3 linked regions of the Rattus norvegicus genome follow. The protein of the gene in region 1 purifies or fractionates together with the protein of each later gene. This does not show direct contact. Links are inferred from orthologs where the notes say so. Each region holds a gene or a part of one and is shown in the gene's direction. Other genes may lie near its edges.

What was found. The genes of interacting proteins can lie anywhere in the genome.
Region 2: the proteins of Med19 (region 1) and Polr2k purify together in Homo sapiens (affinity purification with mass spectrometry; 3 studies listed by BioGRID and IntAct, with this or other methods). This does not show direct contact. The link is inferred for Rattus norvegicus from reciprocal best matches to the Homo sapiens genes MED19 and POLR2K.
Region 3: the proteins of Med19 (region 1) and Med12l purify together in Homo sapiens (affinity purification with mass spectrometry; 3 studies listed by BioGRID and IntAct, counting the BioPlex papers as one, with this or other methods). This does not show direct contact. The link is inferred for Rattus norvegicus from reciprocal best matches to the Homo sapiens genes MED19 and MED12L.

Annotation. Positions count from the first base shown.
Region 1 is NC_086021.1:90,167,348-90,171,687, forward strand, and holds the start of Med19 (mediator of RNA polymerase II transcription subunit 19), read left to right. Parts: upstream 1-1,481; 5' UTR 1,482-1,525; coding exon 1,526-1,742; exon of another isoform or gene 1,743-1,931; intron 1,932-4,340. Other genes in the region: Tmx2 (thioredoxin-related transmembrane protein 2 precursor), read right to left, coding at 932-1,120. UniProt on the Homo sapiens protein: Component of the Mediator complex, a coactivator involved in the regulated transcription of nearly all RNA polymerase II-dependent genes.
Region 2 is NC_086025.1:69,240,082-69,244,091, forward strand, and holds the start of Polr2k (DNA-directed RNA polymerases I, II, and III subunit RPABC4), read left to right. Parts: upstream 1-1,151; 5' UTR 1,152-1,234; intron 1,235-1,938; 5' UTR 1,939-1,947; coding exon 1,948-2,008; intron 2,009-2,345; coding exon 2,346-2,438; intron 2,439-4,010. UniProt on the Homo sapiens protein: DNA-dependent RNA polymerase catalyzes the transcription of DNA into RNA using the four ribonucleoside triphosphates as substrates.
Region 3 is NC_086020.1:145,401,879-145,406,176, forward strand, and holds the start of Med12l (mediator of RNA polymerase II transcription subunit 12-like protein), read left to right. Parts: upstream 1-1,439; 5' UTR 1,440-1,690; intron 1,691-2,482; 5' UTR 2,483-2,604; coding exon 2,605-2,703; intron 2,704-4,298. UniProt on the Homo sapiens protein: May be a component of the Mediator complex, a coactivator involved in the regulated transcription of nearly all RNA polymerase II-dependent genes.

The DNA of each region.
Region 1 (4,340 bases):
TAAAGTAAGATTCCAGAGTACAGGAATAGAAATAAGTAGGGTATCTGGTGCTCTTTTGTTTTGAGTTAGGGTCTAACTATGTAGTCCTGATGGATCTAGAAAGCCCTATATAGATCAGGCTTACATCAATCTTACAGAAGTCACCTGCCTTTGTCTCTAGAGTGCTGGGTTAAAATGGTACAACCCAAAGCCCCGCAACAGTATTGTATCTTTAATGTAAACAAAGTTAATAATCTTGTTTGAGAGTCCCAGAACATGTGAGGCCTACCCAAGGTTATATTAATACCTTTAGTCCTGGTCATTGCTGTTATAGCATAAATATCTGTATATGAAAAAAAAATATTAGCTCTATGTCCACAACCTTCACGGTAAATGTTAACTGTTCTTAAATATTGCTTCTTAGATGGTTGATGGGCTTCCCCCCACCTCGTATTTTTGTAACCTTCCCTGTTTTCCTATCCCACCTCAGGAAGATAGTGCGCACAGTTGTTATGCCCAGAGCAGACGATTTTTCCACCAAAGTCATTTATTTTGTTGAGTCAGTGACCTATGTCTGCCGGTCTATCAGAGAATTGATTAAGGTTAGACAGCACTTAGTGAACGCTGTGTTACCTTGAAAAATCGCCTAACTACACTGTGATCACTTCGTTAAAAATTAGAAAAATTTAAATGGTATTTCTACCACGGGCCTAGTCTTCGTCAGTGGCGCCCCAAGGAACTTGGAATCACAGAAGAATATTGTTCATCTGTGATGGAAACCCTGGAATCTGTTTCTCCATCTTTAACACGAAGGTAAGGACTAGATAACGGCCTAGGCTCTCCACTCAAGTGTGTAAGCTACACTCGAAACCCGCCCTCCCATCTTCACATGCACCTGCAGGGCAGGGATGGATGGTCAAGGTCGACAGCTACTAAGGCAGGGGGCGCTCACCCAGTCAAAGTCACACGGGTTGCCATCTTCGCGCTGCGTGGGGAGACCGTTGCAAATCGGCGGCAGCTTCCTCACGAGGAGGAAAGCAATGGAAAGCAGGGCAGACAGAAGGCAATAAGGTCTGGCCAGCCATCGAGAAAGCCGCGGCACCGAGTACACCAAGGCAATCAGAGGCGCGAGGACAGCCATCTTCCCTGCCTACACTCTTGCAGGCTCACTCCCGCTCCCCAAATCGTCGTCCTCCGCCCCCAACAGCAAGGCTTCTATTGGGCCAAATATCAGATGCAACGCCTCCAGACCCGGATGTAGATCTCTTATTGGGTGCTATAATAGATCGGAAAATGAATTAGATAGTCTATTGGTCCTCATAATTGTCGCTTTTCTACCTGAGTCATTTTATTGGCTATTAGTCTGTGAAACACTACCTGAACAATCTCTCAGGGCAAAGGAAGTAAGTTGCCGGAAGATGGTGGGCGGAGCTTAGCGTATCCAATGATGGGAAGCTGTTAAACCAAGAGGGTGGTACCCTGTGAAAGTGCTGTCCAATGAAAGTAATTAACGCCAGATCCCGGGTAACCAAGAGCGGCGAGTGCTATGGAGAACTTCACAGCCCTGTTCGGAGCTCAAACTGACCCCCCACCGCCACCAAGCGCACTAGGGTTCGGGCCTGGAAAGCCTCCGCCGCCACCCCCTCCTCCTCCGGGAGGTGGTCCAGGCACGGCTCCACCTTCGACCGCGACCTCGGCCCCCGTGGGAGCGGATAAGTCCACGGCTGGAAGCGGTCCCTTCTACCTTATGCGGGAATTGCCAGGTGAGTAGTGGGCCAAAAGTAGCCAATCAGATAATAGTTTAGGTGACCGTTGTGGCTAGCATCCTGCAGCGCAAGGTGTAAGATAACAGGGCTACGGGTGGCCAGTGGGCAACAGTGTCAGAAGCCCTTTGGCGATTCACAACTCTAAAAGATAACTTGATTTCCCGGGGTGGGTTTGGGTTGGGTGTGAATATCTGGGACTACCTCTAGCGAGAAGTTCTGTGATCCGGGTTCTCTAACCGCTGTTTGTGACTCTATGAAAACGAGCCATTGTTTGGAACTCGGGAGACCTGATTTAACGTTTCTGGAGACAGTAAGATTTTAGTTTAAAGTCTGTCACAAACTTGTTGGTTTATAGCAAGTTGCCTTCCTCGTCAGGGACTTGGAGATTAACCCGCTCAAAGAAAGGACTAGAATTGAATCAATTCTTACATTCATAAAGTTAGTTATTCGGGAAAATTGGGGGGGGGCGTGGCTCAGTGGTAGAACTCTTGACTGCCATGCATAAGGCGCGTGTTCACAGAATCATCTCTGAGTAGGTAACATTCAAGAATAAACAAAGCCATCGGTCCTTGGACAGAGAGAAGATACTAGATAGAAGAAACTACATCAGGAGACCTGTTTTGGAGGGGAAGATGGGGGGGGGGGTGCTTAGAATATCTGAGGGGCAGAAGACACATTGAATTCAAGGAAAGGAACAATTCCAGTACTGATGGAAAATAGGTAGAGGCCTTTATAAGGCAATGTAGGTTTAAAGTTCAAGTTGAAGTCAATTTCAACATGGGGGGGGGGGGGAATGAGCTAATTTAGTGATTTTTTTTTTTAAAAAGATATTCAGCAGAAACATAAGTGAAAATGGGGTAATCAGAAATCAGTGTTCCTAAAAGAGAATGGTTTGGACCAGGACTTAGCAGTAGAGAAGCAAATGAATACAGGATACATGATAAAGGTGAAGCCTACAGAAATAAAGAACTAAATATAAACAGAGGAATTGTGGGTGTTCTGTACAAAGGTTATAGTAGTCTGAGAGTAGGAAGTTATGGAAAGAAAAAATTTGAAGAGCTAAAAATCAAGAGGTGTTCTGGATATGTTAAATCTTAGGGAACTTGTGGTACTATATACCAGCACTCAGGAGGTGAAGGCAGAAGGTTCTGGAGTTCCAGCCCAGCCTAGAGGACATGAGATCCTGCTTCAAAAAAAGAAAAATAGAAGTTCAGTTATCCCAATTAGCTATTAGCACAGTAGTTTAAAGTTCACATCAGTGAGGTGTGTACAATATGTAGCCCTTTTAGATAGATAGGTATTATATTTTATAGTTGAGGACTGAAGCATAAAGAAATAACTATATGTGCTTTAATGACAGGTGTCTTCCAGAAGTTCTCTTTTTCCTTATTTTAGTTGTTTTGCCTCACTATGTAGCCCTGGCTTGTCTCAAATTCACTGTAGACTTGGCTGGCCTTGAACTCACAGAGATCCACTTAATCTCAGCCTTCAGGTATGTGCCACCATGCCCAGCTTCTTCCAGCAGTTTATCTTTTGCATTTCCTGTTCTGATTATGCCATTTATATATAAATCAGTTGATAAATACTGAATCTCCGAGGCAAACGCTGGGTATGGTGGGATTCTGAGAAGGGGAGATTATTAAGCCGGGTTTTTACGTAGCTTACTTTTTGAGATCCATAATACATGGTTTAAGGATGGTGCTTGTATCTTTGTGGGTGTCTGTTTACTACTTTATAGTCATGCTTCACACAGGAAGCAGTGTTTAAAACTACCTGATGGTTTTCAAAATGTGTTAGCCAAAATGACAGCAATAATAAGATGTCATTTGAACTGAACTCTGAAGAATTTATATAGGCAAACAAAATTAGAAAGTTATTTTCTCAAAGGAAATAGTGGTACAGTTTTGTTGCTGTTTTCTACCCAGAGGATACGTAGATCTATCTGGATACATTAGAAATTTTGCAGGAAGATTAGTAGTTGATCAGGCTCCAAAGTTAAGTTGTAATAAAATTTGATTAGGAAGGCTAGGGATGTAGTTTAGTTGGAAGAGTACATGCTTAGCATGCATAAAGACCTCTATATTCATTCTCCATACTTGACAAACCGGGCTTGATGGTATATTTCTATAATCCCAGCCCTTGGGAGATGTACACAGGAAGATCAGGAGCCCAAGGTCATTGCTGGCTACATGAGACCTTGCCTTGAAAAGGTCCATTGGAACTGTAAAGATGACTCTAAGGTCATGCAGTTAAGGACATTTGATGTTGTCCAAAGGACCAAGCTTGGTTCCCATAATCCATATGGGAGCCTCACAATTGTATGTAACTCCAGCTCCAGGGATCCCAACACCCTCTACTGACCTCCATAGGCACTCAAATAATATGTGGCATACATCCACACAACACAACACACACACACGCGCACGCGCACACACACACACGCACACACACCAAATAGGATAAAAATAAATCTTTCAGGATAAATCAAGAGGCAGGTTGATCTCTCAGTTCAAGGCTAACTTGGTCTACCTAGTGAGTTCCAAGTCATCCAAGACTTTAGAGAGAGACTCTATATCAAAAAAAATTTAAAATTTT
Region 2 (4,010 bases), on another chromosome or scaffold:
GTGTTTCTCAACCATTCGGCATTCCTCAGCTGTGAATTCTTTGTTTAGCTCTGAACCCCATTTTTAAATAGGGTTATTTGTTTCCCTGCAGTCTAACTTCTTGAGTTCTTTGTATATTTTGGATATAAGGCCTCTATCTGTTGTAGGATTGGTAAAGATCTTTTCCCAATCTGTTGGTTGCCGTTTTGTCCTAACCACAGTGTCCTTTGCCTTACAGAAGCTTTGCAGTTTTATGAGATCCCATTTGTCGATTCTTGATCTTAGAGCATAAGCCATTGGTGTTTTGTTCAGGAAATTTTTTCCAGTGCCCATGTGTTCCAGATGCTTCCCTAGTTTTTCTTCTATTAGTTTGTCCACTCTATTTTTAAAATAAATGGTGTGAAATAATTGAGTGTAAACGTCCTGAACCCAACAGATTTTTACTGAGTTAAAAGTTTGATCTGTGAGAACACATACCACCTGTACTCTATTGAATTGATCAAACACAAGAGGGAGAATACTACGAGAAAAGCTAAAGCCACCAACTAGTGGAAGTAATTGATGGAGTTGTCCTTGTGAAAACCTTAGTTGTGAAAACCTTGGCTTCAAAAAGGAAGATGGGCAGGCGTTGTGATTTGCGCAATTAATTTCAGCATTGAGGCGGCGAAGGTAGAGAACTGCGCCGGTTTAAGAGCAAGCTCAGCCTGGGCTACATAGACTATCAAGCCTCGGGCTTCCCCTATCATTCCATTCCCCAACATAAAATAGAAGAGAGGTGACAAGAAACTAAGAAAACTGGAATTTGAAAACAACAAACAAACAAAAACCTGCATGGGTATTGAACAATTTGAAAACCGTGATATTGGGAAGTGAAGTGTTGGTAGGGTGGCCTGCTGGTGTTCGCCCAAGCAATGGCTGGGTTAAGATTCCAGCAGCACCTGTTTTGGCTTCCTGCTCTATCTGCCGTTACACAAGCACAGACTCTCGAACGCCGAGCTGTGGGAATGTTTTGCTACCCTGGAGAGAGGGGCAAATCAAAACAAAATCCTACAGGAATTAAGGAGAGAAACACTATAAACCAGTCCCCAACAAGCGCCCTAGTTCTTCGGTACTGCCAGGCAGAAAGGGACAGGGCTTTTGCGTCATAAGTCAGCGCCGGAAGTTGGCGAAGCAGCGCCGGTAGTGTCTCTTGCTTCTAAGAGCCGGAGAAAGCGTTTGCGTGCACAGAGGAGGGACGCTTTCCGGAGCTGCGGAGGTAAGGGATCGGCGGGTGATTTGGGAGGTAAATTGGAGGCAAAACTAGGAGAGACACCTGGCTTTAAAATATCCCTGGACGACCGAGAGCGGTAGCACACGCCTGCCATCTGAGCGCTTGGGAAGCAGAGGTAGGAGAATTCTGCCATCAACAAGCACCTTGACTTTCAATCTAAGGCTACAAAGTGAGTTCTCGGCTAACCTGAATTACAAAGTGAAGACTCTCAAAGCCTTCTTAAAGAACCAAATGCGAAAATAAAGATCCCCGGTGGAGTTAATGTTGAGACAAGCTTTGACGGAGCTACTGCTCCCAGCTCAAATCGGAATTCCTTTGCGGAGTGATACTGGACAAACCAACATGTCCTTAGCCTCCGTTTCTTCGTGTGTAATACCCTCTAGGATCCTGAAGAGTAATAAACATTCATAATGTATTTACTATTGTTGAAAATGTGCTGTATCCTTCAGACCCAGCCCACATCACTGTTTAGGGGAAGTAGATAATTACTTTTTTTTTTTTTTTAATTTCCCCATCCGTAATATTGGGTATTGATTCTTGGGCTTCTGCACACTAGGCAAACATTCTACTGAGGTTTTCCTCTTTGGTCGGAAAATCAGAACCTCGTATAGCTTCTGAGAAAAAGATAAATCAAATGGGGCATGTTTTGTGCGAAGGCCCTGTTACTCAGTCTTTGGCTCTCATTTCAGGCACGAACAATGGACACCCAGAAAGATGTTCAACCACCAAAGCAGCAGCCAATGATATATATTTGTGGAGGTAAGATTAACATTTAAATAATGCTTTACTTAGGAACGCCCCCCCCTCCCATTAAAAAGAATCCTTCCATACATGAGTACAAATCTTTAAAATTATAACGTGGAGCACTTTAGCGATTGTTAATTTTAAAATCCCTCTACCTTATTAAGATTTCTTCCTTTTATCTGGAAAAGGTGTACTGCCTACAGCTCTTCTTTCTCCTTGGTCTGTTCAGTAATAAGAATGTACTTGGATGTTTTGGTGCCCTGGTTTCCTCCTGTTTTTAATATGTTGTTACTGTTTGCTTCCCTGGAGTGTTTCTCTTTCAGGCTTTGAATAAATGTGCTTTCTTTCCCAGAGTGTCACACCGAAAATGAAATAAAATCCAGGGATCCAATCAGATGCAGAGAATGTGGATACAGAATAATGTACAAGAAAAGGACTAAGAGATGTATCCTTTTAAGTATACTTTTTAAATGTGAAGAGGAAGTAACTAATACTTGGGTTGATAAAGACTAAGATCTGGGGCTGGAGAGATGGCTCAGTGGTTAAGAGCACTGACCACTCTTACAGAGGTCCTGAGTTCAAGTCCCAGCAACCACATGGTGGCTCAACCACCTAGTAATGGGATTTGATTCCTTCTGGTGTGTCTGAAGACAGTGACAGTGTACTCACATACATGAAATAAATAAATCTTTAAAAAAAAAAAGACTAAGATCTGATCAAAGTAGTAATAACTTTTGGATTATTTTTTAAGCAGAGTGCATGTGGACTTATTGAGAACTGAAAGAGTGGAGCCTCCACAGGAGGTATACCCAGATTAATTATTTTAATAGGATTTATTTTTCCCAAAACTTGTGGGGTAGAGACAGGCAGCTCCTTGTGAATTCCAGGCCAGTCTGGTCTACACTTAGGATTCCAGGCCAGCTAAAGCTACTTAGTGAGACCCAGTCTCAAAGGACCAACTAGGGGCCTGAGAGCTGGATCTGCAGGCAGGAGCATTGCTGCTTTTTCAGAGGGCCTTAGAACCAACATGATTGCTCACAATCACAGGTGGTCGGATAGGCCGACCTCTGACCTACCAGTGCGCGGGACCCAAATGGTACATACATGCATACAGGCAAAAGCACTTGTGCATAAAATAAACCTGAATAAAACAAATTTTAAAACCCAGTAAATACATTTTTAATTCATTTATTAAGGTTATCACTGGCCTTCCTAAACCTCTGTGGCCTTATACTGGCTAGTTTTGAAGGCCAACTTGACACAGGCTGGAGTTATCACAGAAAAGGAGCCTCAGTTGTGGAAATGCCTTCGGGAGACCCAGCTGTAAGGCATCTTCTCAACTAGTGATCAAGGAGGGAGGACCAAGCCCATTGTGGGTAGTGCCATCCCTGGGCTGGTGGTCCTGGGGTTCTATAAGAAAACCAGCTGAGCAAGCCACGGGAGGCAAGCCAGTAAGTAACATCCCTCCATGGCCTCTGCATCAGCTCCTGCTTCCTGACCTGCTCGAGTTCCAGTCCTGACTTCCTTTGGTGATGAAACAGCAATGTGACTGTGTAAGCTGGATAAACTCTTTCCTCCCCAACCTGCTTTGTGTCATGATGTTTGTGCAGGAACAGAAACCCTGACTAAGACAGGCCTCAAACTCAGAGATCCACCTATCCCCGCCCACCACCTCTACCCCCCAAATCCGGGATTAAAGACATGTACTCCCAAGGCCTGGCAGAGGTTTTTATATAAAGTAAATGTGATTAGCATTTTCATGTACCATTCATTATGGGCTTTCAGTAATATAAAAACTAGTTGATAAGTCTTTTTTACTTTTCAGGAAATCTTTGTTTTTAGTAATAGTCATTGTTGGTTATTAGTTTATGAACAATATAAAGTACGGAAGAAGAGATTAATAACAGTGGAAAATAGTGAGGCCTACAAATTGTTTCATGGTAACGGACACAAACTCTTAAAAGTCATCAATTGTTTCAGTGAGTTTTTTTAATTTGTGTTTATTTTTAATACTACT
Region 3 (4,298 bases), on another chromosome or scaffold:
ACCATCTATTATCCATCCCGCAAATCGACAATTTTTTGAGATGTGCCAAATGCTATGCTGTGTACCTCGTGCAATAATGAAAATATTGTCCTTACTGTATCAGTGAGAACTACAGTCCACTGAGAATGGGGAAAGTATGAGGAATAAAGATGGTGAAACATCATTACAGATGATAAATACTCGGGATTTATTATATACTTTCTTCACTTTTTGGTAAGCTCAATACATTTTCTAATAAAGTTAGATATGAATAAAAACTGTATTTTCTTCCAAGCAAGATTTGGATTTGACGTATGCTATAACACAAGGCAAACTGCACCGTGAAGTTATTACATATAGCGTATTAGATGAGAAATGTTCATGGCAGGGTGGGCAGTGGAAGGAAACCAACCATCTTGGTGAAGGCAAGTATACTGTAGAAGGCCTAGCTCACACTGAGTGACGGATTTAGCCTCATAGAGCCCCATTTAGGTTTTAGGCTAGGTTGGAGATACTCGTAGTTCAGAGGGTGAGCAATGAAGAACTAGTCTTCTACAATGCCATCGTCTTATCCACTTCCTTCTTCCTTCCCTTGGGTTAGAGCCAGCAAATAGTATATCATCAACATGTACCAGGTACTATAGAAAGGCTGCAGGTAGTTCTGTGTGCATCTTCTCCAGAGCTGGGAACTAGGAGTCTAAAACATTCCTCAAGTTATGGGGAATGCGACACAATCAGGCCAAGGGCAGATCAAGCACACAGCCTTTCCCGATCAAAGCAGAAGAGTGAGGTCAGAAACCTGAGCTCCAGCAGTGGTAGGTTCAAATTCCGACTAGCTTTTGCAGCTTTGAACAAGTCATCTAAGCTCTCTGAGCTCACACAATTTCCTTCATTTATAAAGAGGTTGAAGTCAAACCTTGGAGGGTTTGTTGTTAGAAGCAAATTCAGACCCTCAAGATCATACAACCAAAGGAAGACTCCATAAATGGCAGCCATCATTCTTGGCCAAGTGCTGGCGCTTTCTCCTGGGCGCGCCTCCTGCAGGGTCCCTTAGGACACACTGGGCCCGCCTCCGAGGCTAGGTCTCAATGCTCACTGCTGGTGGCCCGGCATCTGCGTGTCTACCTGGAGAAAGCGAGGGGCGCCGGCAGGTGGATTGACCAGATTCCCCGAAAGGATCGCCCCCTCCCCGCGGTTCCCATCCCTGTGATGCGAGCAGGTGAGGTGTCGCCTAGGCTGCCGGGATGGCGACCGCAGGAGGGGTCGAGGCGGAGGGCGCAGCTCGAGGCCCGGGGTCCCTCCTGGTGCTGGTTCCACAGCCGGGTTAATCCTGCAGCCAGCTGGGGCTCAGGGCCGGTGGACTGCGCGCTCTGCGGCTGCGAAAACCCGGAGAGGCAGATGGGAGCGCTCGAGGCGCTCGCAGCCAACTCCTCCGCGGTCCGGCCGCCAAGCTGGGCATGCTCAGTGCGGCCGTCGCGCCGCCGTCCGCCAACTCGGGAGCTCGCGCTCCCGGGCCGTGGGGGCGAGAACGCCGGCGGCGGCGAGCGACGCCCCCAGGCAGCCGCAAACTTCGCGGCGTCCGCAGTCTGGAGAGCCAGACACCTCGCAACGTCAAATCCAATTCCCCAACCCTATCGGAGCGATGGAGGCTGCGGCCGCCAGGGCGTCCCGGCCGCCCGCCCCTGCCTAGCCGCTAGCTAGGGACCAACAGGTAAACTGTTGGGGGTGGGGATCGGGGCGCGCGACGTCTAGGGGTGGCCCGGGGAGCCGAGACGCCCGCGCTCCGGATGTGTCCGTCGGTGCTCGCGGCCACCTTTGCTCACCCCCTCCTCAGCCCCGAGAGGGCCAGCAAAGGGTTAAGTCGGCCCCGCGCCACAGCGAGCGCGGCCCCCTCCAGCCACCGCGGCCGCTGCAGCCGGCAGCCAGCAAAGCGCCCGGGCGCCGCCGAGGGGACCCGCGCAGCTCGTGCACTAGCTGAGCTCGGAGGAACCGGCCTCGCTCGGCGTCCGCATCCTCGCCTCTCGCGGCCTCTCTCCCTCCGCGCCCGCCGTTCTGTGTCTGGGCGGCGGGTCCACCGGGTGCAAAGCTGCGGGCGCGGGGCACGGCGAGCCAGGAAGTGGGCGCGGGCCGCTGCGCAGCGCCTCGCGGGCCCGAGGACGCTTAGCTCTCGGCGGGCACCGAGCCTCCCGCCTAGGCGCCAAGAAAAGTTTTTTCCCCCTTTATGCCCCTCCCCCACCCCAGCCTGTGTCCCCCTGGGTGGGTTTGGGTTCATTGGTGAAGAAAGTCACACGTTCCCATCAGCTGCTCCTCCCCCTAGGGACCGGGTGGGGGTGGCGGGAGGCCGGCGCCGCGGCGGACCCTGGCCGACCTCCAGCCCCGCCGCCGCCCGCGGAGCAGGCGTCCCGGGGCTCGGCGCAGCGGGGTGCCCACGAAGGCGGCCCCCCTGAGCGCGTCTGCGCGCGGGCAGCGGCCGTCTCCAACCTGCTTTTTCTCCTGCCTGCAGCGCCACGGCGAGCCAGAGTGGAGGGAAGAGGGAGTCTGTCTGCAAAGTGCTGCTCCCTGGTGCTCAGAGGCGGCTGCTCCAGCTCCAACTCTCATTCATTTCGCCGGTTAACATGAGAGATCATGGCCGCCTTCGGGCTTCTCAGCTATGAGCAGAGACCGCTGAAGCGCCCGCGGCTCGGGCCGCCCGACGTCTACCCGCAGGACCCCAAGCAGAAGGAGGTAAGGGCGCGGGCGGCCTCCGCGGTTGTGCGGCGCTCCGCAGCGCTGACCCCGGGCCAAGCTGGCCCGGCGGCCGTCCGCGGCGCTGCGGGGGAAGGGCTGCGGAGGGGATCGGAGGCGGGGCTCGGGTTGGGGTATCAGGGACCTGGGCTACTGAGACCTGGAGCCTGCCAACCCCCGCGCTCCACTGGGCGGTCGCTCTGCGGGGGGCTGGGTCGCTTCGCGGTTGTCGGGCCTTGCACTGCGCCGCTGGGCGCTTTACCGCTTCTTCCTCGCTTGCATCTTCCTTCTCGCTTTCCTTCGTTTCTGTTTGTTTTATTGTTTTTCACTCCGTCGCTTCGATAAATCCTGGTAAACTTTTTGACAAATGCTGGAATGCAGTACATCGGACACCGTGGTCTTGCGTTTTGCGCCAACGGTATAGGCACGGATGGGGGAGGGACCCTTTTCACATCCTCCAGTTTGGAATGGAAGTCGTTTTTAGCGAGGTGATCATATATTTGGCTCTGTGAATGTATCTCTGTATCTCTCCTTTTGAAAAAAAAAATTAAGAAAACAATATTGAAGAGAAACTCTGAAATTTGTTTCTAGAGAGGCAATCGGCTTTTCCGGAGGCTGTTTTATATGTGTAGAATCAAGCAAGTTACCTTAGAAAGGAATAGCTTTCAGGATCACTTATTTCTTTGAATGAAATTAATTGGGGAGACCTTGGCTGTTGCACTTACAGTGGCTTCAGTGGTTAGTGTAAGCTATGTAGGTATGTGGCAGGAGTTAACAAGTAATTATGTAACAAGTCTCCAGCCAGAATGGTGATTGCCCTTGGCTATACAATTTGCCCAGAGATTTGCCTATCTTTTCCTTTATCGGTCACCTGCTCCCCAGCTGTCCTTTTAGACGGTGCCAACTACAGCCCACCCATCTTCCCTTTTCTATAGTTAAATGTGAAACGGCTCTGTGTGCTCCTCTTTCTGTGAGCCGGAAAAGTTTGCATGTCCACTGATTTCACAAGAGAACTTTGCAAGTAAGAGTTCCTTTGGGCTTCTGTTTTGATAAATGTATCAGTCTCATTAGTAGAGGCTCAGCCCAGACTGGTTAATAATGTCTGAGAAGTCATCATGAGCAATGCCTTTTGGCCTTATCACATTGAATTTGAGGATCAGCGGGAGTAGTTAAGATTGAAGATGGCTGGAAAGTCTACAGGTGGGCAGCATTTCCTCACCCAGCTCCTAAGGTTTAGAAAGGATAGAGACTCTAAGGACCAAGTGTAAATAAAGGACGTTGATTTAAGCGTTACTGGTAGAATTCTAAGTTTTGGTAGGGATGGGGCGTTGACTTTGCTCATCTTATAATTAATGTCTCACTACGAGTTTATAGAGAGAGATGTAATGAGGCAGCTCCTTAGCTTCCGGTTGGTTGCTTGGATTAGCATGTGTGCTTGTTTAGCATTCAGTTTTACACATGACAGTCAGTTCAGGATTTGGACCCCGGAAGGAATAATTTTGGATTTTGGGTCACTTTCTAGAAACCTAAGACTGGAAGAAGCGACTGTAGAGGGTACCTTTCCTACTTTGGTTTGAGCAAATGAGATGATTGAA